Linked DNA regions of Saccharomyces cerevisiae S288C. Changing the gene in region 2 together with the main gene of any one other region gives a genetic interaction. Each region holds a gene or a part of one and is shown on either strand. Other genes may lie near its edges.

The links. Genes that interact genetically often act in the same process or in processes that back each other up.
Region 1: mutations in YOR008C-A (region 2) and RMD1 together harm fitness more than expected from each alone (negative genetic interaction), as found in Saccharomyces cerevisiae (2 studies listed by BioGRID).
Region 3: mutations in YOR008C-A (region 2) and HSP30 together harm fitness more than expected from each alone (negative genetic interaction), as found in Saccharomyces cerevisiae (2 studies listed by BioGRID).

The regions. Positions count from the first base shown.
Region 1 is NC_001136.10:444,645-449,776, reverse strand, and holds RMD1 (Rmd1p), read right to left. Parts: upstream 1,794-5,132; coding exon 501-1,793; downstream 1-500. Other genes in the region: NHP10 (Nhp10p), read left to right, coding at 2,199-2,810; MCD1 (kleisin alpha), read right to left, coding at 3,394-5,094. UniProt on the Saccharomyces cerevisiae protein: Required for sporulation where it is believed to have a role in meiotic nuclear division.
Region 2 is NC_001147.6:340,603-346,145, reverse strand, and holds YOR008C-A (uncharacterized protein), read left to right. Parts: upstream 1-3,064; coding exon 3,065-3,289; downstream 3,290-5,543. Other genes in the region: TIR4 (Tir4p), read right to left, coding at 348-1,811; SLG1 (Slg1p), read left to right, coding at 3,732-4,868.
Region 3 is NC_001135.5:155,609-160,245, forward strand, and holds HSP30 (Hsp30p), read right to left. Parts: upstream 1,500-4,637; coding exon 501-1,499; downstream 1-500. Other genes in the region: YCR022C (uncharacterized protein), read right to left, coding at 1,813-2,157; YCR023C (uncharacterized protein), read right to left, coding at 2,930-4,637. UniProt on the Saccharomyces cerevisiae protein: Probably cooperates with other heat shock proteins in the translocation of polypeptides through membranes. It may counteract the altering effect of heat shock on the plasma membrane.

The sequences.
Region 1 (5,132 bases), on a different chromosome or scaffold from region 2:
ATGTTTAAAAATAAAAAATAAAAAAGTATTTTAAATTTTTAAAAAAGTTGATTATAAGCATGTGACCTTTTGCAAGCAATTAAATTTTGCAATTTGTGATTTAGGCAAAAGTTACTATTTCTGGCTCGTGTAATATATGTATGCTAATGTGAACTTTTACAAAGTCGATATGGACTTAGTCAAAAGAAATTTTCTTAAAAATATATAGCACTAGCCAATTTAGCACTTCTTTATGAGATATATTATAGACTTTATTAAGCCAGATTTGTGTATTATATGTATTTACCCGGCGAATCATGGACATACATTCTGAAATAGGTAATATTCTCTATGGTGAGACAGCATAGATAACCTAGGATACAAGTTAAAAGCTAGTACTGTTTTGCAGTAATTTTTTTCTTTTTTATAAGAATGTTACCACCTAAATAAGTTATAAAGTCAATAGTTAAGTTTGATATTTGATTGTAAAATACCGTAATATATTTGCATGATCAAAAGGCTCAATGTTGACTAGCCAGCATGTCAACCACTATATTGATCACCGATATTAGGACTTCCACACCAACTAGTAATATGACAATAAATTCAAGATATTCTTCATGAGAATGGCCCAGCTGTTCCTTCAACATTTGAAGAAGATCTGAAATGACCTCGAGTCTTTGATTTAAAAGTGAAACGCGCTGATTGATCTCTAAGTAACCTCTTGTTGCTTGGTATATGGGTTCTAACTGTGGTTCTGACCACATAATTTCTGGAGAGTCTAAAACTGATCCATGTAGATTGATATTTATCCTCAAAATGAATAGCTCCCCTATACTTTTCATTATATCTTCTTTGCTCATAGAAACTTTACCGCTGTATGCAATTTCTTGTGGTATATCCTGAGTATCTTCAATAGTATTATCCACAAGCTCTTCGAAAAGTGAAATTTTTACGCTTTGAGCAATTGCATGAGAGATAGAGAGTTTTACCATGTAATTTGAACCATCTCTCAAGGTAATAAAATCGTTATATATTCTTGGTTGATAACTTTTTGTGACATAATAATTGAACTCTTCAACTTGAATATCTTCTTCCGCCAATTTTTCTTTTTCGAACTTTTCTATATCGTTTAAGAAAGCTTTTTCTTCTCTTTCAGTAAACCCCCACATAACGACAACACCATATTCAAAGATAAACAGATCTGGGTGCTTGTCACTAACAATAATTTCACCGCCCTCATCATCCAACCTAATCACATCTTCATCCTCAAATCTTTTGTCGCCCCTCCAATCGTTGTAAATGAAGGGAGTGTACAAGCATTCATCAAACAATTTAGGATGAGTATGATGTAGCTTTCGACAGTCCTTTAACCACCTTACCAGCTCTTTCATATTGTAACTGCTAGCAGTACAATATGCAGTTGACCTGGGGAGTAAATGTCTGTGAGCTTTTCCCAACTTTTCAGCATCCCTTCTAGCAGGCTTATCTTTTATCCTGTTTACCTGAGAATATACTTCCTGATTCTTTAAATCAGTAAGTCTTTCGCTATCTCTTTGGAATGGTTCTTCTGGCAAAAGTTTTAGTTTCTGTGCTGTGCGTGATGTTCTTTGAGCGCCCGATCCTGTACGACTTTGTTTACTTGTCGGGTTGATCATGGCACTTCCTGTATACGATGCTCTAGACTTTCTTGTATCTTGTGGGGTAGGTAAGTACTTTTTTTGGACCAGTGATGGCCTACTGTTATTTGATGTTTGGATGTCATTATGAAGTAATGCATGGCGTTCCGGTTGATCATCATTACTATCTACCATGACTAATTGAATATTAAATGTATTTAAAATGCTAATTTAAGCTGAGTAGTAGTTGGACAGATTTGTTTAGCCGCAGTTACGGTGATAGTCGGCAAAGGAATAATTTTACGGTTACTTGATATATTTTCGTGCTAAGAAATCTTGTGCACGAAAGCGGACAAGGTATTGTCAGCAGTTTTTCGCCCTAAATCGCATTATCAAACAGAAAAAACAAGAATACACCAGTAAAGCAAAAGGAGCCGACGGTTCTCCATTTTCCTTAGAAAAAAGATTTTCTTCTGAGAAAGGAAGGATTTCAATTAAAATATAAGGAAATGATTACCACGCACATATATATTAAATCGTTCTAGGGGCTAGAATTGGATGAGAAGCAGCCAGGATATAGGTAATAGTAACACATAAGAAATGTCAGTTGAAGAAAAAAAGCGCAGACTTGAAGAATTGAAAGATCAGAATGTGGTGCTTGGACTTGCAATCCAAAGGTCACGACTTTCGGTGAAAAGACTCAAATTAGAATACGGTGTTTTACTGGAGAGGTTGGAATCCAGGATAGAACTTGATCCTGAGTTAAACTGTGAGGATCCATTGCCGACTCTGGCCTCCTTCAAACAGGAACTATTGACGAAGCCATTTCGAAAATCTAAAACTAAAAGACACAAAGTAAAGGAAAGAGATCCGAATATGCCCAAGAGGCCCACAAATGCATACTTATTGTACTGTGAAATGAATAAGGAAAGGATTAGGCAGAATGGCTCTCTGGACGTGACAAGAGATCTGGCAGAAGGTTGGAAAAATCTTAACGAACAAGATAGGAAACCGTACTATAAGCTTTATAGTGAGGACAGAGAAAGATACCAGATGGAAATGGAAATATATAATAAAAAGATATCTAATATAGATGCGGATGATGATAAAGAAGAGAATGAACAGAAGATAAAAAATAACGAGGAAGGATCATCTACAAAAGTAGCTGATTCTAAAGGAGGTGAAGATGGAAGTTTAGTTTCCTCTAACTAAAAATTAAAAATTCCATTTTTTTCTATTTTCTTTGAAGATATCGTAAGACGTTCTAGGCGCTTTATCCAGAAATTGTTCAACTTTATTGTTTTGTATATTAGATAAAAAGTTGAGCCTTTAAAAACTGCATAATGTTTCCTCTGGCTGCTAATGTACCAAAGCTAATGGAAAAGAAGATTGTTTGGCCTGGAAAACTTTCTAGACGTGGCTTTATTACCAGGGTTGTGTAAGATTATGTAAGATGGTCAGTATGTAGCACTTACAATGGACCTTTCTTCTATTCCCAAGGTTTCCATGAGAAAATTTCGGCTTCACCGGTGTACGTGGGCAGACGATTCCTAATATCACTATTCAAAATAATACAGCAAGTTTTAGAATAAATACTACCCATGCACCAGCGTGTAGAGTTGCCAAGATCATTCTGCCTTGCGGCCAGTAGTGGCTCTACCGCATTAGTTTGAATTTTATCGTATTTTGTGAATATTAATATTAAATATTGACAATTTTATAAATTAAAGTCTTTGATCTATATATGCATCAGCTTATTGGGTCCACCAAGAAATCCCCTCGGCGTAACTAGGTTTTAAGCATTGATAAACCTTTCAAATAGTGCAGGTTTGGCGTCTATTTTAATATTTCCGAATGCTTCTGTTTGACTCAAACCAATACATCCTTCTGTAGCAAGTGATAAAATATCGAAAAATCCTCTACTGGCTTCTCTTTTAGTAATATTTTCTGGTTCTGTATTTGCTTGACTTTTTAGTACATCCGTGAATATTACTTCTTTTTCTTCGCTTAATTCCTTCCTTAAAATCTTCGCCATTTGAACAATAGCTTTAGAAGCCACCTCACCGGGAGTAGGACGAACTTTTTCAGTTTGGATGGTAGTTTGCTCATTTCTAGTCTTTGCGTCGATGATATTCTCTTCAGGAAAAGGAGCCTCATTTAAGCCAGCATCAATTGGTACGAAGTCTGACATGTTATCGGTCAGTTCATTGAAGGAGTTATCGTTTGTTCCCGCATTACTAATTACATCGTCGGTAAGATTAAGCGACACGTTTAACTCAGGTTCTTCAATTGACCCTTCTCGCCCATTATGTATTTTTCTTTTTTTTAGAGATTCGTAGGATAAGAAGTTCTTAAGGATTGGATCTGGTAAATAGGACATACTTTCAGTTATTTCACTCCATAATCTTTTAGTCGTAAAATTGGTGGGCTGTGGAGTCAATAAATTATTCGATCTCTCCTCTTTGTATGTATTGGATGAAGCTATGCTTTCTGAATTTTCTGTTTCTTCATCGATTTGAATACTTTTGGTATTCAGTAATTTTGAGTTCCTTCTTGTGCCAGTTTGTTTTGGCTGTGATTCTGTCATGGCATCGGTTATCGTATCTATATTGCCTGCGGGTGCTTCTTTTTCTATATCCAGATCAAATCCAAAATCCGTAGGCTCCTCAGACATGATTGATTCACCTAGCCTTCTTCCTTGCTCAACAGAGTTATCGTCATCATCGTTGTTCTGGTCATTTTTTTCGGTAATCCCTAGATCCCAACCAATAGTTCCAGCATCATCAAGAGGGAAATCGTCATCTTGTATGTAATTTTCGTGCGTATCAAAGTTGCGTGAGCTTTGTCTTGTTCCTTCTTCCCAAGATTTTGAAGTTATCGGACCTTCCTCGATGTCAAAATCAAGGTTCATACTAGACAAATTATTATGTTCGAAATCTTCATCTGGACTGAATCGTCTACCGACCTCAAGTGAAGTATCCCAGGGAGCAGCACCTTGGACTTTTCTTTCCATCGAATTCTCCTGCGCCATTAAGCCCACTGGTATAGTAGTATCATCTAAGAACTCTAACCCTGGGGTGACCAAAACTTCTCTTTCTGTAACGGCATCTTCTAACATCAATTGATGAACCCTTGTTACAGTGTTCAGTCTGTTTACTGTAGAAGTCATCTTCTGGCTTGTTTTAAATAACATACTTATCTTCGTTAATGTGTCCTTTATATCTGTAAGGAGAAAAGTGGCCTGTTTGGAATATACACGAACAATGCCTTGAAGTAATTCGCCAGATGTTCGTAAAGTTATGTATTCATTGTCCCCTGATTCGTCATCACAGCCAGAAGCTTTTGCAATTTCCTTTGCTGATTCAGCAATATGTGTTTGGATAACCGATCCTCTTGGTATATTCGACATATTTGAAGCAAGCCATATTTGTGCTAATGGACCCTTATTGGTGGCAAGTCTTAAAACAGTAAGACGTTGAGGATTTTCTGTAACCATTGTCGTGTTTCTTGTAAAGTAATTGTGCAATTGAGTTG
Region 2 (5,543 bases):
TTGAATAGTTTTTTTTAAATTTTACTGTTTCTTTTAAACCTCGAATTATTGTGAGAACTGATTTCATCAACTGGAGGCTGTAGTGTACGTTTTGAAAACGGAAATGATTTACCGTTTTCTTTTATGATGATGCTAGGATAGGCACCTTCAAACATGCATGTCTTCCTGCCCACATTCTGAAAATATTTAACGATGGATGAAAGAAATCAACAATAGAAAAGGCCAGTTGTCAGTTTTTATATAATACAGAGAAGTACATATGACAGTTTAAAAGTTAAGCATTAACTGGTAAGTTGAAATAATAATATAATCATAAGCGGAACGAACATTTTCGACACGTACTAAAATCATAGTAGCATGGCGGCAACAGCAGCTAAAGCACCGGCACCCATACCGATAACAGCCTTGGCAGCACCGTTTTCGGTTTGTTCAACGATACCGGTAGTTTTAGATTGAACGCTAACAACGGTAGCAGACTTCTTAGCTTGACAGGCGGAGTCACATACGGTAACTGTAGTCTTTAGTGTAGAGAAGTCAGTTGCAGTAGAGGTACCTTCTTTGCATGTACTGCAGATAGTAGCGGTTGAAACCTTAGTAGAATTGTTGTAACCGGTGGTGGAAGCTGGAACGGCAGATGTTGAAGAGTAGTCACAGACAGTGGTTTCTTTGGTGACAAGAGTGTTGTCAGTTTCAGTAACAGTGGTACCGTTTCTGGTTGAGATAATAACGCTGGAAGCAGAACTAGCTGGGGTGGTGGTGGTTGTGGAGTTGTAAGGAGCAATGGTCGAGATAGAAGTCTGGGCAGTGGAAGAAGAGCTAGCAATGGTTGAGTTGTAAGGAGCAACGCTTGAGCTAGCAGGTCCGGCCGAAGATGAAACAACTGAGGAAACTGGAGAGGAACTGACAGCTTCAGAAGAGGAAACGGCTGAGGAAGAACTGACAGAGGAAGAGCTAACAGACTCGGTCGAAGAGGAAACAGCGGAGGAAGATGTGACAGCAGAAGAACTAGTAGCTTCGCTTGTAGAAGAAGCAACGGAAGAGCTGACAACTTCACTTGAGGATGGCGCAACAGAGGAGCTGGCAACTTCACTTGAGGATGAAGCAACGGAAGAGCTGACAACTTCACTTGAGGATGGTGCAACGGAAGAGCTGACAACTTCACTTGAGGATGGCGCAACAGAGGAGCTGGCAACTTCACTTGAGGATGAAGCAACGGAAGAGCTGACAACTTCACTTGAGGATGGCGCAACAGAGGAGCTGGCAACTTCACTTGAGGATGAAGCAACGGAAGAGCTGACAACTTCACTTGAGGATGGTGCAACGGAAGAGCTGACAACTTCACTTGAGGATGGTGCAACGGAAGAGCTGACAACTTCACTTGAGGATGGTGCAACAGAAGAGCTAGTGGATGAAGCAATAGAAGAGCTAGCAACTTCACTTGAAGATGTGGCAGCAGAACTTGAGGTAGTTAGAGAAGCATCCATTGCTTCTAATTCTGGAAGCAGTCTAGAAGAGTACCATGGGACCATAGTCAACATATGCTCAACAGCAGAAAAGTCCACTTCAGAGTACAAAGTGGTGTAGGAGTCATCACTTGGATTTGCAACCAATTGCGCAGCAATATCCATAATACCAGCTGGCATTTGGTCCAAGGAAAAACCTGAATTTGGAGTGTAGGATAGGGTGATGTAGTCGGCAATGTTGGTCTTAACATCATCTAAAACAACGTTCAATTCGTTGATTTGTGCTTGGGTTTGAGCGTAAGCAATAGCAGCAAGAGCGGCTAGTAATGTGATTTTAGAGTAAGCCATATTTTTTATGGTATTAATAAGCGAGTGAATAGGTTTTTGTTGCTGGTTTCTATCAGAACAAGAGTAGGGAACGAGATAAGTAAACGGGCTAAAAACTGATCTGTCCTAGCGATCCTTCCCTTTTTATATTCGAAAGCTTGGGATCATATCTTACTGCGTGGAAAACAAAGAATTTGCATCCTCCCTTTTGGACTATCCTACTTGTTAGAAATGCATCGTTTAGGAACCCTGTTCTATTATTTTCCGTCATTTTTTGAGAATTTCCATTCCTTCTAAAAGTGGCAGATGGGTTGTTACGAGATTTTTACTGATAATTCGCGCGCAGCGTCGCCTCTCCGCGAGTTTCAGTGTAAGCTATTGTTGAAAAGTACTTCGTTTGCCTTTTTAAGTTGCCTTTGGTTGCCATTGTTGTATCTTCAGGGTTTTCTTCGGATCACATCAGCTGTGAGAGTACGGTTAAGTTTGGAAGTCACAACTCGATTATGCCAGTTCGTAAGTGAGCACTAGATGACCTTGCTTTCCCCGTACGAGCCGGTTACGGTAGCAACTTTTGTTTTCCTTGCGCGGAGTGTATGCCTATTCTGATCTTTAAATTTCCTGAAGTGTCTGTCGTGCGCCGTAAACGAATTATTACACACACACGAATCTGGGAAACCGTGAACCCCATACATTGTCTTTTTTTTTTCACAGTCCCTTATCAGTACCGTTTGGCTAACAAAAGCATAAAATATTGTTCGTTCAGATGACCCCTTCAGTACACCGCGTTTACAGTTTCAAAGTTCCTTTTAGAATAGCACCCTGTTCGCCGGCGGATAATTTGCACGCCGTATGAAGGAAGAACATATAAAAACGCAAAATATGAGGCATAAACAATCACAATATCCTCACCTTAGAAGTTAGCCGTAGCGGTTTTCTTGCGCGTGCTTGTTTCTTTTCTTAGTTCTAAGCTTCAGCAAACCCATCCACAATCTTTCTTCAAGAACTTTATCGTGTCTACTTCATAACAACCTGCTAAACAGATTGTGAAATCGTTCCTGCTCAAGCAAGTAGTTTATGATAAATCGTCTTGTAATAGCTCGGCAAAACAACATCATATATGAAAGTGTTTCAAGTTTTTTGCCTAGTAGCAGACTGGAAATTCCACCACCTCTCTTCCAGACTTCGGTTTACATAAGAACTTAATGGTGTGTAATTTTTTTACATACTTCTGGAAGCAGATATCATCGGCCCCCAAAGTCGCCTTCTGCAAAATAATGTGGAGATCTTATCTTGTTTTTCTCTTCTTTATGACACCAAGGATACAAACATATTGTCCTGTACCGGTACTAAGGTCAATGGCAGTATTAAATATTATCTCTCCGCTTATAATTTTTGTCAGTCCTATTAAAAAGCAAGACAGTTTACACAGCAGCGCTTGTTACGCAAATTTGACGTTAGTGGAAAAGCTGCAACTTTGGCATTCTATGTCAAACGATTAGTAATATAGTTGACTACTTTCGTAGAATTCCTTCCTCAAGAAAAATTTTCTCCGCCTTTCCTCTCTGAAGATGGAAATAACGCTGCATGGGGAAGAAAATAATGTAATTTTCGAAGCGAAAGCGAGAGAAACGGAGGGGAAAAATAAAAGTGTTTGGCGTATCATAGCCTCATTTGGAAGAATTTAACGCAGTGTAGTTTTCTTGGACGATACAGTAAACTCGACCAGGCACTAACATTACAGAAAATCTCGTATTGATATTGTTATTGCTTAAAGGGTAATCAAGGTAAACAAGAAAGAAGCTCCTCGTTGTCCGTAAATTTTTTAATAAGGAGAGAGAAAAAGAGAGATAACCAAGAGGAGAAAAAGGAATCTGCATCACATTTATTCAGGATAGTACGTTGGCTGATTTAGTACTCAGGATAAAAAATTCTATTTAAATAATGAGACCGAACAAAACAAGTCTGCTTCTGGCGTTATTATCCATTTTATCGCAAGCGAACGCCTATGAATACGTGAATTGTTTTAGCTCACTACCCTCTGACTTTTCAAAGGCCGATTCATATAACTGGCAGTCGAGTTCACACTGTAACAGTGAGTGTAGCGCAAAAGGTGCAAGCTACTTTGCCCTTTATAATCATTCAGAATGTTATTGTGGTGATACTAATCCATCTGGTTCGGAATCTACTTCCTCTTCATGTAATACGTATTGCTTTGGTTACAGCAGTGAGATGTGTGGTGGTGAAGATGCCTATTCTGTGTACCAACTTGACTCTGACACAAATAGCAATAGCATAAGCAGCTCAGATTCAAGTACGGAGTCTACTTCTGCGTCGTCTTCCACAACTTCTTCAACAACGTCCTCCACAACATCAACTACATCATCGACTACATCATCAACTACATCATCAATGGCGTCTTCCTCTACAGTACAGAATTCCCCCGAGTCAACTCAAGCAGCTGCCTCTATTTCAACGTCACAGAGTTCGAGCACTGTAACGTCAGAAAGCTCGCTAACTTCGGATACTTTGGCAACGAGCAGTACTAGCTCTCAATCACAGGACGCCACTTCGATAATCTATTCCACTACTTTTCACACTGAGGGCGGTTCCACAATTTTTGTCACGAACACCATCACGGCAAGTGCACAGAATTCAGGATCGGCCACAGGTACAGCTGGATCTGACTCTACGAGTGGAAGTAAAACTCATAAAAAGAAAGCCAATGTAGGGGCAATTGTAGGCGGCGTTGTAGGTGGTGTAGTGGGAGCCGTAGCCATTGCTCTTTGTATCTTGTTGATTGTCAGACACATTAATATGAAGCGGGAACAAGACAGGATGGAAAAGGAATACCAAGAGGCGATAAAACCAGTTGAGTACCCTGATAAACTATACGCCTCTTCATTTTCATCTAATCACGGGCCCTCTTCAGGTAGCTTCGAGGAGGAGCACACCAAAGGGCAAACTGATATTAACCCTTTCGACGACTCAAGGAGAATAAGTAACGGAACATTCATAAATGGCGGACCAGGAGGGAAAAACAACGTTTTAACAGTGGTCAATCCAGACGAAGCTGATTGAAGAAACCCAAAAAAAATTATTATATTCTTAAACTATTGCCAAGCAAGTCTTGTTCCTTCCCATTAATTTTTTCTTTTTCCGATTTCATTTTGCCAAATCATCTCCATTTTCACATTATGATGATCCTCTAAAAATTCATACATTTCGAATTTGAGAGCTGGAGAGCTGGAAGTAACGAGGAACATTAAATAGGAACAACAAAATTAGATTAGTTATTTTTTTTTCTACTCATTAATTTTTTTATGATATATTTGAATACCAACCTTAACTTAGTTACATAGATTTAACAAACATTAAACATGTTAATTCTTTGAAATGAATACCACCTAATAAAACTATACATTTTCAAAATAACAAATTGTTATGAAACTAATAGCTAATTATCTTCTAGTGACAATAACCACTTTACTAGAAATTATTAAAAAAATACCGCGTTGAAAGACGATATAAAGTAGGAGATTAATAAATTTATATTCATATTTTCTTCAATCTAATGAAATTGAAGCGCAAGGATTGATTATGTGATAGGATGCGTGAGTAGTAATGCATGAAAAAGGAGGAAGACGTGATTATAATATATGATGTAAAATTTTGATTCCATTTTGCGGATTCCTGTATCCTCGAGGAAAGACCTCTGGCATATTATATAGGGATATTATTCCTTTACAAAAAATG
Region 3 (4,637 bases), on a different chromosome or scaffold from region 2:
CTTCATTACAAATGAAGAATTTCAAAGCGTATCTAGTTCACCAAAAGTCACAATATCTTATTATTATTTGGAAGCTTTTATATGCATCTAATGGTCATAAATCCCATCTCACTTTATAAAACAAGTTACCGCGAATGTATCCAGTGATACAGAATAGAGTGTAACAAATGAGAATAAAAATACCATATTATCGTTTAATTTTGGTAGGGTACGCTAAAATAAAGTGGTGTTTGCGTCTCCATATAACTAAAAAGAATTGAAATGGCCTACTATCGATTAGACTATTCAGGCATGGAAGCAGTAAGAACATTTCTTGATTTTGGAAAAATGAGATTAGATTATTAATTATTGTGTTTGTGTATATAATTTATTTTGCATATTTCATAAAGAAATTAAAATTAGATTATTAAATATTAAGTTTCATTAGTGACATTAAAAGAAGAAAACTGATGTTTTGAAATGTGTTAAGCAAAGAATGATTAAGACAATCTCAAGCTGCTCTAAGCAGTATCTTCGACAGCTTGCTCTGCTTCAGGTTCGGGTTCGTGGATTGCAGTCTCTCCAGATGCTCTTGGGCTCTCTGGAACAGCTTCTTTTGTTTCAGGAGCCGCATCTTCCACATCGTCCGTAGCATGGTGATGAGAGAATCCTCCTGTCAAAGATAGCCTTGGCAATTTGCCATCACGGCTGACTGCAATTAGCAAGTAACATGGATAAATGGCAAATACACATAAATCCAAAACACCATAAAAGATAGCCTCACCGTCTGGTTGAATACGGTTACCACCATCACTTAGACCCCAACAGATAAAGTACAACCAAACGATTACCATGCAGGTACACAGCATAAGTGCATTGAACCCTCTAGTTTTCAAATTGAAGAATTGACGTTGGCATATCACACCTTGGGTAACCAACATAGCGACAGCACCAATGGTGTAATAACCCCACTTGTAGGTGGACTTGATCAATGAACCAACTAATAGCGAAACAACCCAGAATAAGGTACCCACGATTTGAATTAACAGCGAATGTACCATATCCAAGGCGGAAATGTCGTCATTCTCACCAGTAGTACTAGCGGCTAACTCGATTAAAAATAAAAGGCATGGCCAGGACAAGAACCAGGCAATATATTTCGAGTAAAAGATTTGTCTAATACCGGGAACTTCACCTGTGATAGACTTGCTAACCTTGACGTGGTTAAATTCAGCTTGAACACCAGTCCAACCTAAATCAGAAGCATAAGTGAAGAAAGCAAAAAATTCAAAGAAAGTGATCAAAAATGCAGGAGCTAAGGCATATCTAGTCAATCTGGAGCCCTTGTTCTCCGCAATGAAGAACATCACAACATAGCATAGCAATATAAAGCCAAAGACTGCAAACACTGCCCATAACCAATCCGAACCTCTCTTGGTAATGTGCATATCCAGGCCATGTGGTGGATTAAGCCCTAAAGCCTCGTTACGATTTAAAAAGCTTGATAGCGTATCGTTCATTTGAAATTTGTTGTTTTTAGTAATCAAAAGATATTAAAGTCTCAAACTTGTTGTTTTGTTTTTGTAATTATAAATAATAATAATTGAGTTAATATTTGTTGTTGTGTTGTATTGCAGAATGTAAAAACAAGAAACAAGATTAGAAAGTGAATAGGTGTTACGCTAAATAATTGAAGACTCTCACAGACTTATATATGATTTTTTTAGTGTGATACAACTTGTAATGAGGTAAGGGATTGATATTATACTTTCTAACTGATGATGAATATGAAAACTTTGGCCAATTAGGGAGAGGAAAGTTTTCGATGAGATGCTAGAAAAAAACTTGTCCTTGCCATAGCAGAAAGGGATGATGAAATAACGAAGATGAGCTAATTTGGTATTCGAATAAACATGCAGGATGTGGCGGAAGGGATCGGAATAAGAGTCGGGATCGGGATCGGGATATGGCTTTGCTTACTTTAGCCATACCAAATATTCTTACAAAGCACGCTTTCGATGCGTTTTTGCCTTCTGAGAGAATCCTCCTACGGCTCGACCCTTGAAAAATTCTAGAGGATCTGGAAAATGGCCAACAAAATCGCGCAGGGAGACGCAAGGAAAGTAAGTCAGATGGATCCGACTGTATGTAACAAGGGTTGCTGCAGCGGTTTTCCATCCCTTTCGGCACCCTGCACAAGTAGTTATTCTTACTTATGCAAAACGGATATGAGCTACATAGCGTTCATTTTTTAGGTTTTCAGAAGCTATTACAACGCAGTAAAAAGGATACACAACTTTCTTACGGGGAAGAAGAATACGGCTCAATGCACCCACTTCAACCCCCGGTATCACGCGGCACTAAAGTTGTTTGATTGTAATAGTAATACTGCTGTTGAGGTTTTCTTCTTCAGGGCTGCTCACAACGTGATATATTTGAATTGACAGGACGTATTCAGCGCAGTTGAGGAAAATTAACATATGACATGCGCAGGAAATAAGTGCTCAAGTTTTCTACTTTTGAAGAAAGGACTTTGGTTTACTTGCCTACTATCTCCATGTCAAGTACTCGGTTGTATGATGTTAAGGAGCGCAGGGAACACTAATCGATAAAAAACCCTTATTGGCTATTACTAAATGTAACGGCCGTGCTCTAGTGAAATTTGTATAGAAAAATGGGTTCTCTCGCTCAAAATGGGCGCCATTACTTGTCTGGTCAAATTGAGTTCCTGGATATAATTACATAAACGGATTGAAATTTACATAAGGAGTATAATAATTCCGGAAACTATCTTGAGTGCAATGCCATCACGCGGCCATGCCTTGACATAACATGCTCTCATCAAAAAGGTGCAAATTTTCGCCAGTTATGGTTGATATCTAAAATCTACTGGAGTTCATTTTTTTTTTTATTAGATATCCTTTTTGCAAGCCTTCTGAAAAAAAATTTCTCATGTGGTACAGCGTTGGTTACTTAAGCTGCTTAAACTAGATCGATGAGCCATTCTTAAATCAGAAGACTGTGACTGCGAATTGTAGGCATCTTCACTACCCTGTCCATGAAGCTCATTTTCGTTATCATCAATTGGTGCTATCTTATAACTTTGATAAAGAGCTACCATACAAAAAAGACTTAACGACCACCAACTGACCCAGGCGACGTCATTTTGCTGGGACCAAGACATAATATAGCCCCATACTAAGGGACCTATGAAACGAGCAGAGGCAGAAATACTAATGGTGGCGCCATTGATGACTGATCTACAACTCAAGGGACTCGAATTATGAATTAATAACATAATTTGTGGTGACGTTAAAGCGCCACAAAATGTTTTTATCCCTGTGATTATGTACAAGTAGACGACAGTATACCAGCTAGGAATCCGTTCATTCTGTAGAAAAACAACGTAAGGAACCATAACGTACATAATAGGGTACAGCTTGACTAAAGTTCTGAAAATTGTTAAACAATCGAAATTTCGATCAACTATGGGAAAAATGAAAATAACCACAAAACAACCAAAGATACCTGTTGTCGACAAAAGAGTACCGGTTTGTTCTGGTTCATAACCTATACCGCCAGATATTTTCCACGGAAATTTTGAAGCCAGCTTCTTTGGATTTTCTGGATCTACGGCTAAATCATAAGCTAAAAAAACAGGCAAAAATTCGTTGTATACAATCAAATGTAAAGCCATAATAAAATTCACCGATATAGGGTAAAATACTTTTGTATGAAAAACGTGATGAAATATACTACTTTCTTTACAACCGTCTGGAGCTGTATCTATATTGGCATGCACAGCGTCTGTTGGTTCATGCAGAGAATATGTCCTAATCAGGCCTACAGACTGTCTTCTTGTTAAAATAGGATCAATCGATTGTATGCTTTCAGTATCATCGTCATTGGTAGTATTCACTAGGGGACTATTTTCATCCTCTTCACTATCTTGTCCTCGAATGCTGTTCACATTCTCATTACGGTGGTGAATGTTTTCCGAATCATCCTGAATGCGCTTTTGCCAGGGTCTTCTTTTCGGCTGTATACCAAATATATTCTTCTTAATAAAATCACCGACCTCTAAACCGTAATCTCTTCTATCTTTAAAAGCAGGATGTGTTTCTTCCAAAAACAATGTTGCATTAGTTAAACCAAACATCAAAAACATGCACACTACCACGTTTGGCAAGGCGTACGGATATGACCTAATTATTCTTTTTGCAAAATGTGGAAACCATAGTGGCACTTCATTCATTGTTCCATCTCTAAATACAAGAAACCCACCGATCATAGGCCCAACAACGGCACCAAATTGAAATAATAAAGGCATAGTACTGAAAGCTAAAGCCTGATGTTTTCTTTCAGTTGCTATTTCACCAATAATGGTTCTAATAACGCCGACGTTACCATTTAGCAATCCCATTAAACTTCTTGCCACCAAAGCCTGATAGAAATTGCGTGAAAATCCCAGTATTAACAATGATACAGATGTTCCTATAAGCCCGCAAGTCAATGTTATTTTTCTGCCATGCTTTTCAGAGAATCTACCCCAGTGGTACGCAGATATGACTTGGCATAACGCAAATGATGAAGATAAATAACCTGAATATTTGGACACTTGAGCATCATTGGGAGCAATATTAAAATCTCTAACCATG